Xenopus tropicalis: one gene and its partners. The main gene of each other region encodes a partner of the protein of the gene in region 2 in a complex. Links are inferred from orthologs where the notes say so. Each region holds a gene or a part of one and is shown on either strand. Other genes may lie near its edges.

The links.
Region 1: taf7 (region 2) and taf10 share a complex: the UniProt entries of both Homo sapiens proteins name them as parts of the TFIID basal transcription factor complex. The link is inferred for Xenopus tropicalis from reciprocal best matches to the Homo sapiens genes TAF7 and TAF10.
Region 3: taf7 (region 2) and gtf2b share a complex: the UniProt entries of both Homo sapiens proteins name them as parts of the TFIID-containing RNA polymerase II pre-initiation complex. The link is inferred for Xenopus tropicalis from reciprocal best matches to the Homo sapiens genes TAF7 and GTF2B.
Region 4: taf7 (region 2) and tbp share a complex: the UniProt entries of both Homo sapiens proteins name them as parts of the TFIID-containing RNA polymerase II pre-initiation complex. The link is inferred for Xenopus tropicalis from reciprocal best matches to the Homo sapiens genes TAF7 and TBP.
Region 5: taf7 (region 2) and taf8 share a complex: the UniProt entries of both Homo sapiens proteins name them as parts of the TFIID basal transcription factor complex. The link is inferred for Xenopus tropicalis from reciprocal best matches to the Homo sapiens genes TAF7 and TAF8.

The regions. Positions count from the first base shown.
Region 1 is NC_030678.2:177,470,365-177,474,382, forward strand, and holds the start of taf10 (transcription initiation factor TFIID subunit 10), read right to left. Parts: upstream 2,811-4,018; 5' UTR 2,800-2,810; coding exon 2,631-2,799; intron 1,580-2,630; coding exon 1,428-1,579; intron 1,194-1,427; coding exon 1,129-1,193; intron 199-1,128; coding exon of another isoform or gene 166-198; coding exon 51-165; intron 1-50. UniProt on the Homo sapiens protein: The TFIID basal transcription factor complex plays a major role in the initiation of RNA polymerase II (Pol II)-dependent transcription.
Region 2 is NC_030684.2:37,692,443-37,696,462, forward strand, and holds the start of taf7 (transcription initiation factor TFIID subunit 7-like), read left to right. Parts: upstream 1-1,203; 5' UTR 1,204-1,238; intron 1,239-2,540; 5' UTR 2,541-2,583; coding exon 2,584-2,596; intron 2,597-3,891; coding exon 3,892-3,965; intron 3,966-4,020. UniProt on the Homo sapiens protein: The TFIID basal transcription factor complex plays a major role in the initiation of RNA polymerase II (Pol II)-dependent transcription.
Region 3 is NC_030680.2:105,690,944-105,695,214, reverse strand, and holds the start of gtf2b (transcription initiation factor IIB), read right to left. Parts: upstream 2,818-4,271; 5' UTR 2,791-2,817; coding exon 2,774-2,790; intron 1-2,773. UniProt on the Homo sapiens protein: General transcription factor that plays a role in transcription initiation by RNA polymerase II (Pol II). Involved in the pre-initiation complex (PIC) formation and Pol II recruitment at promoter DNA.
Region 4 is NC_030681.2:50,706,513-50,710,480, reverse strand, and holds the start of tbp (TATA-box-binding protein), read right to left. Parts: upstream 2,801-3,968; 5' UTR 2,710-2,800; coding exon 2,659-2,709; intron 2,034-2,658; coding exon 1,714-2,033; intron 557-1,713; coding exon 469-556; intron 1-468. UniProt on the Homo sapiens protein: The TFIID basal transcription factor complex plays a major role in the initiation of RNA polymerase II (Pol II)-dependent transcription.
Region 5 is NC_030678.2:70,726,574-70,729,163, forward strand, and holds the end of taf8 (transcription initiation factor TFIID subunit 8), read right to left. Parts: intron 2,085-2,590; coding exon 1,942-2,084; intron 983-1,941; coding exon 851-982; 3' UTR 511-850; downstream 1-510. UniProt on the Homo sapiens protein: The TFIID basal transcription factor complex plays a major role in the initiation of RNA polymerase II (Pol II)-dependent transcription.

The DNA of each region.
Region 1 (4,018 bases), on a different chromosome or scaffold from region 2:
GGCACCTTGGGCACAATAGCCCCACTGAAGGGCATTTGCTGGCGGGGTACCTTGCTTTTGCTGCGAGAGCTCCCGGAGGCCGTCCCCTTCATCTTACAGTGCTGCAAGGCGTCATTTGCAATGTCAGAGATGAACTTCTGAGATGCCAAGGAGATCAGCCGGATTCTAGGAGAGACAAGCGGTGGGGTCAGCGGATCACTACAGAGATCGAGAGGATCCGGTGTGAAATTCAAAATAAGCGAAGTCAATACAGATGCTGTGCTGAACTCATAGTAATCACCATACAGGCCTGATTGGATAACTGCAGTAAGACTAATGAAAGCAACTCTGATTGGTTGCTAGGGTTAAAGGAAAAGTAACACTAAACATTTTTAACTAAAAAAATCTATTCTACCCTCCCCCAATAATTGCCCTATCCTGAAATCCATTTGTTATTGTGAATGCATCAACTATGCGGTGATCGACTGATCTAGCCCCTGACTTCTGTATATAGGAATGAGTCAGGCTAGGCTCGATCAGTCGATCACCGCATAGTTGATGCATTCACAATAACAAATGGATTTCAGGATAGGGCAATTATTGGGGGAGGGCAGAATAGATTTTTTAGTTAAAAATGTTTAGTGTTACTTTTCCTTTAAGGGCCGATTCGGGTCCTTCAGACCAATTCAGCAGCTTATCTGCCCGTGTATGGGCACCCCCCGACGGGCCTACCCAACCGATATCTGCCATTGCGATGGTTTGGCCCTAGCCCGGTATTGCCCACTGTAGGTGGAGAAGATCCGCTCATTTGGCAATCTCACCAAACGAGTCTCCACCAATTACATTACAGTTCCTAGAAAGCAAGATAAACAATAATAAAGAGGGATAATACATATAACGGAATGGCAGCACCAGAACGGGCACTTTAACCCCTATTTAGGCCTCCAGTTGCTGTGGCCATAAGCGTGACTGTCAGCTCTCCTGGTAGGCACAGAGCAAACGGCTACTGGCCACGGCGGCCCATAACCTAGCGCTACAGGCTGGCCAGAATAAGGGAAGGTTCTTCCTAGTCGAGGCAACTGCTACAGGGCTCTGAGAAGCTCCGGTACCCACGGGCCAATAACGTATGGCAGCAGGAGTTGTACTTACATGCGTGGGTCGGATGCTTCAAACCCGGCCCGGTTCAGGTAATATCCAGTGACGGCATCTGGGATCTGCAGGAAATCGGGAGAAGGAATGTAAAGCAAATGTTGGAACAGATACAAGCAATGATACAGGGAAACAATATGGCAGCTCCCACCAACAGATATACATACATACAGAGAAATGATGTTCTGTAGGCACAAGCTGCACCCTGACACTGTGTAAGGTGGGGCAAATGCCTGGCACTGCCCCCCCCCAGTACCCTAGGGCACAGCATTTCCCATACAGACCCAAGGGACACTTACCGTAGGGGTATAGTCCTCCAGCTGCATCAGGAAATCCACCAGGGGGGTAGTGGAAATGACAGGTTTGACATCGCCATTTGCCACCCCCGGGGGCAGGTACACGCCATTAGAGAGGGATCCCTCGGAGGGGGCAGCAGCCGCTGATGCAGGGACTGGAGGATCAATAACAGAACATACATTGGAATTGGAAAGGACTGGGCAATAGTCACACAGCCGGGCACTTACCTGCGCCCAATTCTCCAAATACCCCCCCACCCTATCTGTCCCCAAACTGTACTCCCCATTGTACAACCCAGTGGGCACCATTTGCCCCGAAACAGGTCCATTCACCCAGCTCCTTCCATACGTTCCCCTTCTCACCCCCGGCACCACTCCTACCCCCTGCCCTAGCAAAGGGCAATTCTCAGCTATGACAGCCCCCTCCTCTCTAGCTGCCCCCCGGGACCCCTTTCATCTCCAGCTGCCCCCCGGGGCCCCCCTCTCATCTCCAGCTGCCCCCCGGGGCCCCCCTCTCATCTCCAGCTGCCCCCCGGGGCCCCCCTCTCATCTCCAGCTGCCCCCCGGGGCCCCTCTCATCTCCAGCTGCCCCCCCGGCCCCTCTCATCTCCAGCTGCCCCCCGGGGCCCCCTCTCATCTCCAGCTGCCCCCCCCCGGGCCCCTCTTTGCTCCAGCTGCCCCCCCCGGGCCCCTCTCATCTCCAGCTGCCCCCCCGGCCCCTCTCTGCTCCAGCTGCCCCCCGGGGCCCCCTCTCATCTCCAGCTGCCCCCCCCGGTGCCCCTCTCTGCTCCAGCTGCCCCCCCCGGGGCCCCTCTCTGCTCCAGCTGCCCCCCCGGGCCCCTCTCTGCTCCAGCTGCCCCCCCGGCCCCTCTCTGCTCCAGCTGCCCCCCCCGGGCCCCTCTCTGCTCCAGCTGCCCCCCCGGCCCCTCTCTGCTCCAGCTGCCCCCCCCGGCCCCTCTCTGCTCCAGCTGCCCCCCCCGGGCCCCTCTCTGCTCCAGCTGCCCCCCCGGGCCCCTCTCTGCTCCAGCTGCCCCCCCGGCCCCTCTCTGCTCCAGCTGCCCCCCCCGGGCCCCTCTCTGCTCCAGCTGCCCCCCCGGCTCTCCCTTTCCCCTCCATGCTTGGGTTTCTCTCCCCAGGCCTTTCCTGGAGTCCCAGTCCCCTGTGAGTACCCCCCCCTCCCTCTCCGGTTCAGTTGCTGCCGCTCACCGCTGGCTCTTCGCTCCCCCGTGTCCCTCCCGGGTAGAGCAGCTGCAGAGGCCGCGGCAGGCCCGGGTTTGGGAATGTTTGCCGGGCTGGGCTTACTCTCTGGGGCCGGACCGGGCTGGACTGAGGCAATAGCAGATAGAGAGTCTGGCGCTGTCTCCGTCCCGCTCATCTTCACCCTTGGACAGGAACTTCCGTCAACACCCGGAAACAGCTCCTCCACTTAATCTCCTCCCCAAAACAACGGGCAGTGCCTTTACGCCATCTTCCTGCAAGGCGTGTCCCAGCGCCCCCTACCGGCCAATGCGGCAGCTACACAGCTCAGGAGAAACATAACCTTACGTAGAAAGCCCATTGGCTACCTGCCAGGGCGCGGCCATTTACTGGCTTAAAATGTTGCCAATCAAAGCGGTGATAGCAAAGCTGCGTTAGGATTTGAACAAAGCCAGACTGTGATTGGATGTCGCTTGGTTACGTGCTGAGGCACGCTAGAGTGCCGCCATGTTGCTACACACGGAAATGAGCTTAGCGAAGTGCATGGGAGTCAGACTGACAGTGAGGCGCGACACCAACTCCTTCTTCTGAGCGTGAAAAGCGCCACAGGCAACCAAACCGGGGCTGTTAGGAGCCGGCGGGCTGGACTTTACCCTGGGGCAGGGGCTGCTTGAGGCCAGTATTTGGGTGTAGCAATATGGCGGAGTTCGCAGACCGAAAACGGACTGGGAAACCACAAGAGTGAAAACCGGATCCAAATTGCTCCGACATTGATTCACTGAGCAAGTGGGTGAGTGTCCGCCTCCCGGGAGCTGGGACTTTCTTTTTATTGATCCACCCCCCCCCCCCCCGCCTCCACTCAGGCAGCCATTATGGGGGTCTCTTTACACTCACTGTCAGTAACTAACCCACTCACTGTCAGTAACTAACCCACTCACTGTCAGTAACTAACCCACTCACTGTCAGTAACTAACCCACTCACTGTCAGTAACTAACCCACTCACTGTCAGTAACTAACCCACTCACTGTCAGTAACTAACCCACTCACTGTCAGTAACTAACCCACTCGCCGTCAGTAACTAACCCACTCACTGTCAGTAACTAACCCACTCACTGTCAGTAACTAATACACTCGCCGTCAGTAACTAACCCACTCACTGTCAGTAACTAACCCACTCACTGTCAGTAACTAACCCACTCACTGTCAGTAACTAACCCACTCACTGTCAGTAACTAACCCACTCACTGTCAGTAACTAACCCACTCGCCGTCAGTAACTAACCCACTCACTGTCAGTAACTAACCCACTCACTGTCAGTAACTAATACACTCGCCGTCAGTAACTAATACACTCGCCGTCAGTAACTATACACTCGCCGTCAGTAACTAACACACTC
Region 2 (4,020 bases):
GTCTACCCTGCATTGGAAAAGAATTTTATAGCACGGCTTATTTTAGATTTTAGGTAAATATGAATATCTGCTTTTATTTTATCCCAAGAGCTGACATTCATGTATGCCTGTAAGTATATCCATACAGTGCCACAAATAAGTAAAGCATTTTGCAGAAGGAACAGTTCCATTTTATATATAACATTTAAATTCAAACTTTATATATAAATACAGTAAGTTTCTGTAAGTCCCCTCTGGAGAAGCTTACGGTGCCACCCTTCCTACCATGACAGCATGCCATTGTAACTTTAATAAGTAAGGAGACGTATCACTTCCTGGTATAAATGAGCGATAACTGACTAGTGTACTTGCTCTCACTCCCAATAGTTAGTATTTCTAACACTACAGGATTCTAATGCTCCTGCCCATAAGACTTACAGTGCTGATGAACCATAATAAAGCAGAAGCTACCAATGGCAATTTTATTAATACTCAGATTGTAAGCTCTATGGGGCAGGGACCTCCTTCCTACTGTGTCTCATACCACATGGCACTTATAATAAATAAATACATATATGTATATATATATATATATATATATCACTCGTCCTCCCTGTGTGTAATTTTGTATTCTGTAAGACTGTACAGCGCTGAGTACCCTTGTGGCGCTTTATAAATATAGTTGTACATACATACATTAACACGTATGAGACCCTAATGTCTGCCACTTAGCTCCCAGCATGCACAGCGGCACTTACTCCTCTCACTTACAGGGTGCAGGGAGAAACCCACCGCTTAGCAGAGCCGCCCGTTCCACAGTACACACTCTCCGGGGACTGACCCTACCACCCCTATCGGTAACACATACATAGCATCACTTGCTACTCTCATTTCTATTTCGAGCTTCCGTATTCTCTGCAATCATTTGTGAGAGACTTTGGCTGGGTACCCAATTGGTTAGCGAACTCCAAGTACGGTGTCCATTTCAGGACATACATTGTCCAAATTCAAGTGCAAAATTAATACTAGAAGGGGGAGGCGCAATTCAGAGATTTTGGAGGTGGGAGAAAGCAGGACGCACTTGGATTTTTAGATAATTGACCTATAATGGACACCGTAGTCCTGGGCAGTGTGAACCAATCAGAAGGCAAAGGAGTCCGGCTCTATTCCACATACTTCCGGTATCTGGTGCTCTGTGGGCTAGGAATTTCCCATAGGTGTAACTTCACAATGAATTAGAGAGCAGCGGGTCTCCTCCGGTAAGTAGAATACCTGTAGTTCGTCGAGGTGATGGGCCGAGTCTTCGCCGGGGGTTACTGGGAGTTGTTCTTAACCCACAGATGGGAATTCGAAGAACAAATTAGTTTATTATACTCAGTGCCGGTGTGGGCTATAGAGACTGTAGTGCTCCTTATAACGCTGCATAGCTACAAGAAGCAAGCTTTAGCTTTATAGGTGGCAGTCATTTCCAGGGACTGCAACACTAGTCCCCACCGCACTCAGACTGTAAGCTCTGCAGGGCAGAGACCGCCTTCCTTCTGTCTCTCTTACCAGTGACACAGTTATGTATTTTTATACTTATTTATTGCAGTGTTTGTTCTCCCTGTTTACACTTTTCTGTATTGTATAATTGTGCAGCTCTGCATATTCTAGTATGTATGTATGTATATCTTTATTTATAAAGCGCTACTTATGTACGCAGCGCTGTACAGGAGAATACATTAATACAAACGGGCTTATTAAGATAAATACAAAGTCTAACAATAAATATAAATTAATACAAGATACAGTTGCAATAAATTAAAGGAGAAGGAAAGGCTAAGTCACTTGGGGGTGCCAAAATGTTAGGCACCCCCAAGTGACTTAAATAGCTTACCTTGTGCCCCTGTTAGGAGAACACTGCACCAGCCCGGGGTACCTGTAGCGAGCGCTTCCTTCTTCCGTGTTTTTTCTGCGGTGAAATCCCTTGGCCGGCGCATGCGCATTAGAGTGAAAAGCCAACTTTGTTGTTACAGTTCAGCTTTTCACTCTACTGCGCATGCGCAAGCGCGCCAACGCGGGAGAAGGATGCACTCGCTGCTACCCCGTGCTGGTGCTGTTCTCCCTAACGGGCACCAGCCTGGGGTACAAGGTAAGCGATTTAAGTCACTTGGGGGTGCCTAACATTTTGGCACCCCAAGTGACTTAGGATTTCCTTCTCCTTTAAGAGTCAAAGACACAAGAGGATGGAGGTCCCTGCCCCGTAGAGCTTACAGTCGTACAGTAGTAGTACTTTAAAGCTGGTCTGTATGCCACTCCTTTAATGGCTTTGGTTGTAATAGAGAAATTGCGTGTAAGAATTCCTCTTTTAACAACTAAAATTTGTGGAGCAGATTGTCAAAACTGATTCCCACTCACAAGCTCACTAAAATATCTGTGTGCAGCCAGTCTTTTAAAAAGAAAAAAAAAAGGCTTAAACGTTCTGGGGACCTACTGTAGTCATAACAATGGTCTGTCGTTAGAATTTATGGACGATTGGCCAAGTGCAAGATTTAATCTCATGGTTTTTTTTCCACCCACAGATTTCTTTGCCCCCTACTACTGACTTCTCCTGACAGATTGGCCATGACTTCCACAAGTAATATAAATGTTGTTTAAGCGACTGCTAACTTTTTTCTTTACACTATAGTAAAAATACAAATGAATACCTTCTGTATACATTAAATCCTGTATTATATTAAACAACCTTGAAGTGCTTAAAGGGCACCTATTGCAAAAATTACATTTTAATACAGGCTGCATCATATTGAAATAAGAAGATCTCTAGATGTAATCAATTAAAAACTTCTGTACTGTGTCTGAAATAATCAATTTACTCTCCCAGCATCTGTCTCTCTTCATTCTCTCTTTATTCTCTCTCTCTTTATTCTCTCTCTTTATACACTTATTAGGATTCTGATTTTGATTGACAGTTAAGTCTTGTACAGCATTTGGGGGGGGGGGGGGGGGGTAGGTGATCCTTTTGCCTAAAATATGTATTAGAGCTCACTCAAAAATCCTGCCTCTCTACGTCCAGAGAATAAAGACAGGTAGATGCTGAGTGGGAGACAATGAAGAGTAACTTAGTTATTTCAAAAATGGTACAGAATTTTTATTATATTTAGAAAGTTTCTTCCCCATTGTAGGAGAACAACAGATTCTTGTATCTCCAGAAAAGGAAGAAATTTTGGATACACACGTTACAGACTCTTCACTCTAGGGGATTAAAATAAGAGTATAATCTATATGCATTTATTTAATAATATGTGAAAGTAGACTACACTACTGATTTTTGGCTGATTTTTGTATTACACTAGGAATACCAATGATTCTTATTTAATGTATACCTACTGTATGGGATTGCAGCACATTGCATAACATGTACCTTTAAGAGGGGAGCTTTAGGTAGACACTAACAAATGTGTTGTCATTTACTTTTTTGTTTGATAAAGGGGCAGGTTCCATGAAACTTTATTTTTTTTTATTTTTACAATAAAAGCTTTGATTTTCACCAATATTTAGACTTTTTTGTTTATTATAACTTAAGTCTGGTGATTGGCACATTTCTACACTCGGGTTAAGCTAATGTATTCACTGGGGTTGCCTAACACACCATCTCTTAAAAATTTCTATTTCTTAGTCTTTTAATTTATTACTAGTAATATATCCTTTAACATATAGAGACAATGTAATGTGCAGAAATACATGCACTTGTATACTTTCATACCATATTAACAGGAAAATAAACATAATTTTCTTGTATATATGTGCGCTATCTAGAAAAGTGAAAGAGCTGGTAAATATTAATTTCTTTACTTTTCAACACTTCCTCTATATGAGTCCTACTGCCTACAAGGCCAACTGACTTCTGAGTTTTACATATTCCTTCCATAGAACAAAAGACATCAAGGAGCAAAGATGATGCCCCACACGAACTAGAGAGCCAGTTTATCCTGCGACTCCCACAGGTGAGTATGACACCTATCCGAGCAAGGAATCCTATGTAGAGCTGCTTCCATTGCT
Region 3 (4,271 bases), on a different chromosome or scaffold from region 2:
GCAAAACAATCTAATAGCGTTTAGTGTGTTTTTAGCAAACATAAGTATGGTGATCCAAATTACAGACATTTCTCTTAGCTGAAAAACCCCAGGTCCCAATCATTCTGGGGATACAATATACTTCTAGATCTGCTAATGCCCTGTAAATGTGAGGCAATGGCAGAATTTTCTATTGGACAGACTGATCAAATGGGATAGCAGGTAGGTCTGTCAAAAATACTCCATAAAGGTCCCCATACACGGGCCGATTGTAGCTGCCGATAAGTCCCTTGGACTGATTCGGCAGCTTTTCGGCCTGTGTAGGGTCAGCAACGACTGGACTGGCCTGCCCAACCGATATCTGGCCTGAAATTGGGCAAATATTGATCGGGCAGGTTAAAAGATTCAGTCCGACCGGGGACCGCATCGGCTCGTTGATGCGGTCCCCGAACCAACTGCGCCCTTTACAGTCATACCGAATTAGCCTAAATTCCCCGATATCACCCACCCGTAGGTGGGGATATCGGGAGAAGATCCGCTCGCTCTGCGATCTCGCCAGGCGAGCGGATCGTTACGTGTATGGCCACCTTAAGAGGTCAAATTCAGCAATGTCAGTCATTCTTTAACATATGCAACCATTAGCAAAGTTAAACATTACAGTCCATGAAATTCAAGGGTTTATGAACATTTATTTAGCAGTGTTTACCCATCTCTTTACAACTGGCCTAAACACTAAACTTTTAGCTTTATAAAGAGTGGCACACACTTCTAGCACACCCTCCTCTTTACTGCACTAATATTCCCAAAATTACAACTTATGTTCCCTTACCCCATTGAAGCATGTTTAGAACGCACACTGTGTTCAGAGAGTGTTTTTTTTTTTTAAAGACCCTTGGGATCTATTGATGAATCTTCAAATAAGATATCACTTTCTAAAACTGGTGCCCAAGCTTCAAGTTTTCACACTAAGGGACACATTTATTAAATGGATGAAAATAGACACTTCACCATAGGAAGGTTTTACAGGTCCATATTCTCTTGCACCTTTTTGCTCCAGGAGGACGATATTTTGTTCCACTGCATACTTTTAAGTATATTGTTGGGATGACAATAAACCGCTACTTACTCTAGGGGCAAATTTTTCAAGGAATAATGCGCTTTTATAGTATTTTAGGGGCATATTTATCAAAGTTAATAAGTGATGGGTAGATTTATTTTCACTCAGATAAATATGCCCATACGTTATATGTAAATGTTTTGACTGCGTGTTTAGGTCCTGCTGTTACTAGCCTTTTAACCCAGGGAGAAAGCGGAGCTATTAAAGTCCATTTTTTCCCCAGAATAGTCAATATAAGGGAAAGATCAGAACTTCTTTAGCATTAAAGACTCATCTACAGGCCCCCTGCCAAGCAAATGCCAAACATGACTGCAGCCAGCCTCATAGCCACATACACCTGACAGCGCCATGCCACACCATTTAGACACCTACGTAGCTCTGACTGAAGCAGCTAAATGTAATTAAAAGCCAGAAGAGAAGTGCATACATCAAAAGCCCTACAGATCAGGGCACCAAAGTGGATTCCAATGCTTTAAGGTGAGTGACTTACAGTGTTGCTTCTACTTAAAATGAAATAAGCCACATTATAATTAAGTATATTATAAATAATACTTGGGTCACAAAACTTTTAGACTTTGCTCTGGTCCCCAGAGAAAAAGGTCAGGAAACTCAGGTCAATAGAATGATAGCAACTAACATAGCAACCAGTGGGGAAGCCAAAGCCACTATTGCAGGGATATTGCCCTATAGCGGAGACAAGAACCCACCCGGTTTACAGAATCACAAAACAGTACTAGGTTATCTTCTAGAACAGGGATCCCCAACCTTTTTTACCCGTGAGCTACATTTAAGTGTAAAAAGACTTGGGGAGCAACACGAGCATGAAACATGTACCTGGGGGTGCCAAATAAGGACTGTTATTGGCTATTTGGCAGCCCCTATATGGACTGCCAGCCTAATAGGAGACTCTGTTTGGCAGTACACCTGGTTTTTATGCCTCCAAAACTTGCCCCCAAGCCAAGAATTCAAAAATAAGCACTTTATTTGAGGCCACTGGGAGCAACATCCAAAGGGTTGGGGAGCAACATGTTGCTCACGAGCCACTGGTTGGGGACCACTGTTCTAGACTTTAAAAGCCCCTTAGTTAATAAAAAGGACAGACAGGCATTGCTGCATTAGCCAATCAGCTGTAGCCCAGGGGCAGTCAGTTTAACAGGGTCTCCTGTCCAAATTGCTCAGTGGCCCTCAACCTGGGCTAATAGGGCAAATAAGTACTATCCCTAAATCTCCCCATAACTGGACTATGCTGAATCCCATAGTTAAGGGCCCACCACAAAACCCTATCACCATTGAGAAAACATAGTAATAATGGCTCGTTCCACCAATCCCCATTGCAGGATAATATTGGCCCAGTTAGGCTGCAGGGCACAAAGGATTCCAGCCATGAAGGCGAACTTGACAGCGCTGGCTTCCATAACTCACTGCATTACAATCCCCACCATTCCCCCAGCGACTAATACAAAGTTCACAGGGACTACGGCCGAACAACTGCACCGTACGGCACGATTAGTTCTGATTTAGGGGCCGTATAGAGAGTTTCATATTCGCTCCCCAGTAGGGTCGTCACCCCGCGTAATAGAAAGCGAAAGTCTATCCAAAGCAGCCCCCCGCTGCATGCTGCCCACGGACAGGACAAACACAACTGCAAAGGCACCAAAAGGTAGGTAACATACTAACCGACTCGTCGACGCCATGACTGTCTTCTAACGCCGACTTTTCAATCTGCTTTGAAACAAGCCCGACAGACGGCGCGCTCTTCCTTATATAGACTAGCCAGTCACGTGCCCAGTGAGGCAGGGCGGCCGGCGCACAGCGGATGTCACATGTATGCGCAGCACTGCCAGCTACAGAGAGACAGCGCCGGGCTTAGTTACGTGTGCGTAATACGGAGGAACGTACAGGCGTCTGAGTTTTGGCGAGATGCAGTGTGGGTATACTCTGTCATTTCCCTTTGGTACGCAGTTTATTTTACTACTACTCTCAACCTAGTACAAGTAAGCAGTAACTTTGTTATGTTTTCTTATATAAAATATATATTTTTCTTGAAATTCTTTTATGTGGTGGTATAGCCGTATCTGGGATTGATTCCCACAACTTTCATTAAAATTCTTAACTATTAAATGGGGAAATATTGCTAAAGATAATAAAAAAAAACCAAAAAACTTTTATACAGAAACAATGGCCGGAGTAGAATATGTGTGGGGCAATAAGGCTGCCCCAGCTGAGGATTAATGGACACTTAGGGGCGTATTTATTATGCTGTGTAAAACTAATTCGTAGTAAAAAGCTGTGTAAAATAAATGGAAAAGATCGCCACCTGAATGTCGGATATTACGCCGTTATTTTCCCATAAGTTCGGGTGGAAGAAAAAACGCGTAAAACAATTACGCCATTTTTACACGGCGAAGCCTGGCGAATTTTTTTTTTTTTTTTACACAGCATAATAAATATGCCCCTTAAGGTGGCCATACACTGTAAGGTCAGCAAATGAGCTGATATTCATTATGCCCACTCGCGGGGTACGATTGAATTAAAACAGAGGGTACAGGAGCTGTCAGTTTGGGGACTGCATCAATGTGCAGTCAATGTGGTCCCTGACCCAACATAAAAATCAAACCTGCCCAATAGAGATCTGGCCGATTTTAGGCCAGATGTCGGTTGGGGTGGCCTGTCGTGCGTGCCCATACATGGGCAGATAAGCTGCTGAATTGGTCTGAAGGACCGATAGCAGCTAAAATCAGCCTGTATATGGCTACCGTAAGTTGCGACTAGGCTAGCTACTATACAGGGCGTATGTTTACCTAGCGGTGATTTATATTAATGCAGATGGGAAGGAAACATGGGTCGTTAAGCCCGCATCGCTGCTAGAAGAGATTTGGAGCACTTGAAAATATGTCCCCTTTGCGAGGGCCTCTTATCTTTCTGCTAAGAATGTCCTGCTTCACACAAAGCATAACAGGGCTCATTTATATACATTGGGCAAGTTTGTAATTGGGTAAAAACATATGGCAACCAATTAAGTTTGTTTTTATTGTTTTACTTTAGGGTTGCCACCTCTGCCGGCTTTCTTAGTGGGGCAAGGGGGCGGGGTGACATCACAAAGGGTGGGGAAGAGGTGGGGCTGTGGTGCCACATAGGCGGAGCTATCGCCACATCAAGGTTAGTAAGTCCTTCC
Region 4 (3,968 bases), on a different chromosome or scaffold from region 2:
GATAACCCATCCTCATGCCACTTCTAGGCCAGCATAAAAATACTATGCCCAGTGGGTATGGCAGGACAAAATTACAAACAGGAAATCCTTTTCTCATCACACATTTACAGAATTAAGTGCCATACAATGCACCAGTGTGTTCTCCTGAATGACTTTTACAGATAGATAAGAATATTTAGGGCTGTGACAGACGAGATGATTAGTTGCGACTAATCTCCCCGAAATGCCATCCCACCGGCTAGAATGTAAATCGCAGGTGGGATGGCATACGCGGCATCTTTGAGAGGAAACTTCGGCGATGCTTATGCCATCCCACTGGCAATTTACATTCCAGCCAATGGGATAGTATTTCGAGGAGATTAGTTGCTCGCGACAAGGGAGATTTGTCACGTGGCAACTAATCTCCCCGTCTGTCACAGTGAAAGCAACTATTAGGTGAATAAGATACAACAAAGGCTTTTGTCTTACCTTAGGGTTATACTCTGCATTTCGCGCTCTAAGTGCAATTGTTTTCAGATCCAGTTTGCAGCCAAGATTTACAGTGGACACTATGTTCCTGAACAATGTAAAAGCAGTTATTACAAATCCAAATATTTTTGCTCACTGTATTTAAAGGTATTCAGTCATTAATTTTTATTGTGTACTTATATTTCTAAATTACTGTTTACATAGCAAATAATTTACCATTTAAAATTTTATTCTTAAACCAACAAAAGTAATTTTTTAGTTGTAGGCAGCCAGATCAGTGCATTGTGCCCGAGTCTGAGCTTTCAGAAGGAGCCAGAGCTACTGGACTTGAATTTTTTTTTTTTTTTTACTATTGAGTACTGTTCTGATATCTACTGGGAGCTGCTAGCTTGCTAACTTACATTGTTCTGCTGATCGCCTGCAGGGGGATGATGATATCACTCCTATCTGCAGCACAGTAGTAAAGTGTGACTGACCTTTATCAGAGCAAAAGTCACATGACTGTGGCACCCTGGGAAATGAACATGGCTAGCCCCATGGGAAATTTTTAAAAAGTATTACAAAAAAAAAATTTGCACTATTAGTACTTGTAAAAGTGCTAAACTATTTTAATTTCCCAATTCTTTACTTGTTCTATTTTTCACACATGTTGGACAGATATAGGACACATTAAAACTAGGATACTACTGTACATGCTAAATTACATATCAAGACAAGTCTTTCTCCCTCAATAAAGTTTCACTTTAAATATGACATCAATTCAGTCTCAAGAATGTGGTGTAAAAGTCTGAAATGAGGAAACCGTCTGCATCTGTTTCTAGACCTAATATATACACACACCCCTGGCCTGGTAGCTTTTAAATCTAATATGGACTCCTATATTTTTAAGAAATGTAGCTTTTTTTTTTTTTAAACAAATGTAACACTCACAGGGTAAACAAAGGTAATGCAGCACTGTTAAAATACTCATTAGTACCAAAGGTAAAACAAAGATAAGGTCTTTTAATTTTGACAGGCCACACTCAAATGTGGTATAACAAATAAAGTCATTACTGTCTAAAATTAAAATATGCCAGAATATGTTTCCATTTCCTGTATATCTAATATTTACCATTTGCAGAGTTGTATGCTCTATGGCACTACAGAAATGTACAGACAAACATAAGGATTTGTTGACAAGTGTGCAGATACAGATAATCTGACAAATGATATCTGCAAAATGTCCCCCAGGATGATGAGACTTACTGTAGCTGAGGAACAATTCCTGAACTTTCTGATGCAGGGGTAGCAGGAGTAATAGGGGTCATGGGAGTCATTGGGGAGGGGTATAAGGGTGTATTTCCTGGAAGAGGTGCTGTGGTAAGAGTCTGTGGGTGAAACAGTTGTGGGGTTTGGCCTGACCCCTGATTGCCTTGTTGTGATGTAGACTGCTGGGCCTGTTGTTGTTGTCTTTGCTGTTCTTCCAATATTGATAAACTGTTAGTTGTTTGTACAGGTTGAGGGGTCAGACCAGTTCCATAGGGCATCAACGGACTGAAAATGTTAATCCCTGGAGTCAGAGAACCCTACAGAAATAAAAGACAAAAAAAAAAAAAAAATTATAACAAATTTGCTCTCAAACCCACACACAAGTTGAATCACAAGTTAAAATGGGCTTAGTACATGGGGATTTCTTTAATGAAAATCTTATGGTATAGCCCTGCACATGGAGTAGGACAAGCTAAGGGCTCTTACACACAGGTGTTTTCACCCTGCAGTCTCCCGAATTGGATTTCTTCTCCTTTCCACCACAAGGAAGCATAGGATGAAATGCAGCTCTATATTCATTCACATGCATGAATGAGAACGGAACACATCTGTTTTGTGTTCAAGAGCCCTCAGGATGGCGTTCCTCCACCTATTACGACAAGCGCCCCAGCAAGAGAAACATTTGCATTGAAGCCAATATTGGCTGCTGACTTGCATTTCCCCCCTAAGTCAGTTGGAAGCATATTGGCCTGTGTCTCAAGTTTTTCTTCTATTTTTTCATTCTTCAGTATTGTATCTGTTGTCCAAATTAACCACACCCGGTATACCGTATACCCCCCAATTTAGAAAGTGCAAATGAAGTGAATATTACAATGCTTTTAAAGGCATTTTATTTTATGGAGGGGGAATTGTGGTAAAAGGGAAAAAAGGGTTCACACTTACCTGTGGTGATGCCAACCCCTGGAAAGGGGGTATACTGTTGTTTTGATCCATGTTGCGTTAATTGGAAATCCCACTAAGAATAAAACAAAGTGTGCTGTTCCTACAAATTAAAATAAACCATTCCAGCAGCAGACAAAAATCCTATAAAAAGAAGTTAAAAAAAAAAAAAAAAAAAAAACATTAAAACATAGCTTACATTCAGCAGTTAGCACCTGTATTGGTAAATGTGATAAGTTAACAGTAGGACAGAGGGCCATAACAACGAGCCAATGTGGTCCCCGATCCGTGTTGGGGGTGCCCATACACAGGCAGATAAGCTGCCAAATTGGTCTGAAGGAACTAAATTGGCAGCTAGAACCTGCAAGTGTATGACAACCTTATGTGACCATAGCAAGCAGTAAAGACAACACCATGAAGCTAATCTGCTATTAATCCTACTGTATAAATCAGTGACCCAACAACTAGATGACTGTTTAAAAGAACAAATAAAGTAAAAAAAAAAAAAAGATAAGATGTAGGGGATATTTATAATATTAGCAGCAGCAAATTGCTTGAAATGACAAAAAAAGGTATACTAAAATGGTGTAGTCAAATTATACACTTGCAGATGTCACAATGGGATTCCTTCAAGCAAAATTTGTAAAATGACCTGCGTGTGGTTTTAGTTTCTCCAAATCTCTTAAGGGCTCTGGCACACGGGGAGATTAGTCGCCACGACAAATCTCCCTGTTCGCGGGCGATTAATCTCCCCGAAATGCCATCCAACCGGCGAAAATGTCATTCGCTGGTGGGATGGCATACGTGGCGGCACGATTTCAGTGAAATAGCGGAAGTTTCCTCTCAAGGCAACTTCCGCGATTTCACTGAATCGCCGGTGGGATGGCATTTTGGGGAGATTAGTCTCCCGCGAACAAGGAGATTTGTCGCGGGTGACTAATCTCCCCGTGTGCCAGAGCCCTAAGAAGCTATAAAAACCATAAACGTATTCATTCAGATGTAATAATCAAGCCTTGTTATATCTAAATTCTGAGATTTTGTAGTACAATAATACAAATTTTGCTATATGTGCCCCTAAACCTTTTTCTCTGAGGAACCAATTAAACGCACAAATTAGTTTCACAACACAAGGTTGGTTTATGTACATAACTTAGTGCCTAATTTCCATTGTACTCAGTAAGATCATGCCTCAACAGTACAGGGAGCCGTAGGTTTATTGCTGAGTTTAGGCTGTAGCACTACAGAATGAGCTAGAAAATAGTAGAAACTATTAGACTAGATAAAATGGCTCCAAATCAAATTGGTCAGCTCAA
Region 5 (2,590 bases), on a different chromosome or scaffold from region 2:
ATACTTTGTATTTATCTATTATTATCCTAATAATCCCGTTGGTATTACTGTATTCTACTGTACAGCGATGCGTACATAAGTAGCGATTTATAAATAAAGATATACATACATACATACATGATTGCATCCATAAACAAAAAAAGGCTATGTATCATGCTGACCCACCTACTCTCTTTCCTTTCCACTTACCTAACACTCAATCTATTGTTTATTTTAGTAATTGAATTGCTTTTGGTACAGACATACTAATTTGTCTGCGCTCAGCAAATCAAAGACATTTTCAAAACTGTTTTAAGATCAATCTCTTGTATTAGGTGTATGCATAATATACTTACCAGCCAATCTTATTTTACTACCAAATTGCATACTTAATTAATACTGCAGAAACAAAAGCACATTTACTGCTTTTCATCTATACATTTGGCTTATATTCTAAAATAGCAATAAGTGTGTAAACATTACGTGTATTGTGCACAAAACTAAGCAAAACAAACAAAAAAATACCCTTCATATTTTCAAAAATCTTTTATTATGAAACACCTCATGAGGGACAGTATCTGTGTCCTCAAATCAGGGTATTAAATGAAAAGATATATATTATATCAGGGTATGAAATGAAAGATATATATCCCTATTCAAGGATCCTTATAAGGTTCAAACATTGCATGTCAAGACTCAAATTAAAGTTGCCCATATGGACTCTTAACTTTTCCTGTAATCAACAATACAGAGCAGCCAACTTTAATAAAATTTCAATATCAACATCCTTTTCAAGCTCTGGTAAATGGAGTCACTAATGTCCAGTTAAATATTCTGTAGTTTTTCATTCAGAATCTCAGGGTTGGCTACTCTATTTCTTACGCCTCAGCTTAGGTTTTTTCACAGGTCGTAGATAGGGATTATCTATAAGTGTTTCCTCTCCACCCTTCATTGAATTCTGCTGTAAAACAGATGAATTTTCTTTCTCCATGCCCACCTCGTCCTTGGGAGTTAAAAATAAAATAGGAAGTTAAGCAATAAAATATCAAAATATACCAGGGAAAGGGCACTGGGATGAATTAAGGTCAACAAAAGGGTGAAGCATTCTAAAGCATGTAGTGGATGGCTGAGCAGAAAACAGGTTGAGGAAAGAATGAATAAAGTAGTTAAAGGAGACATATAGCATAAGTGTAACCCCCCCTAAGCTTGGTGACAATAATGAATAATATATTTTTCACTCAGGGGAAAAAAATGCTCATTATCTTTTAAAAGATAATTTATCGGAGCTCTCTCTATATATATATATATATCTGCTCAATTAAGGGGTGGGCATGTTCTAATGGTTCCTGCCATAAGCAGGATGGGGGTGGGGTAGCAAATCACAGCCCTCTAGTCACAGTAGCAAAGACAGGCTTTAGTTCCCTATCAGGTCTACCTAGCTTCTAATTCTTATTATACAGTGCAGTGTGCTAAGTGCCAACAGTTCCTCTGTACAGCCTGGGAAAGGAGTCAGCAGGAAGTGAAAGAGATGAGTGGGACTAGTAGGGATCTGCATTACATTTTTAATAAATCAGCCAAAGCATATCTTTTTTAATGCAGATTCCTTCTATGTTTTTACACAATATGTCTCCTTTAAATAAGGACTACAACAGTATCCAAACATTGTATCCAAGGCTATTGTGATACTAAAATCTATAGTTAGTATTGATGTTGGTTTATGTATGTGAGTGTATATGGTCAGTATATGGTATGTGGTCAGTATAGATTTGTGTGTGCTGGGTTTACTTGGAAGGGTTGAAATTGATGGACTCTGGTCTTTTTTCAACCCTATGGAACTATGAGTAAATTAAGTTAGATAAACAAACATAGGAAACATAACAGTAAAATATAAAGGCAAAGCAGTAAGTTGCATGCGGAATGATAAATATAGGACATAACAAACTCAAGTTTCTCTCCATATACCCCTTGCAGATGCATAGACAGGTTCTCTGCGTCAGTCTGATCATCTTGCTCTGAGGAATCAGTCTCCTCTACTTGCTGCAATTCTAGTTCTGATGGGAGGAGGGCATTCAGATAAGGTATTGAGAGTGGACGTGCTGCAATCACTGGCAAACGAAAAAAAAAAAGCCTCAGTTTTAAATTTAACAAAAACAATATTCTGGATGAGGTACAATAAATCACAGAGGGAGAAAAGAAAAACATATCAGTAAGGAACAAAAGAATGTTCCTGACAAAGTAAGGTAAAATAATATATCTGACTGGGAAGCCAATTAAACATCATATGGAAAATAGGTCTTCCATAATATCTAATAGGAAAAATATTAGTAACAAGCTTAAGTGTATCTTTAAAGACAATATAATATAGCATTACAATATATGCTGGCTTTTTAAAAATAACAGATATACAGTCATATGAAAAGGTTTGGGAACCCCTCTTAATTATTTGGAGTTTTGTTTATCATTAGCTGAGCTTTCAAAGTATCAACATCCTTTTAATATTTAACATGTCTTCTGGAAACGGTAGTATTGGATTAACAGAAAATATGCATCATAACCTGCATATGAAGTTCAAGGCTTAACAAGCTGATTCAACCAATTTGGTGTTGCCAGT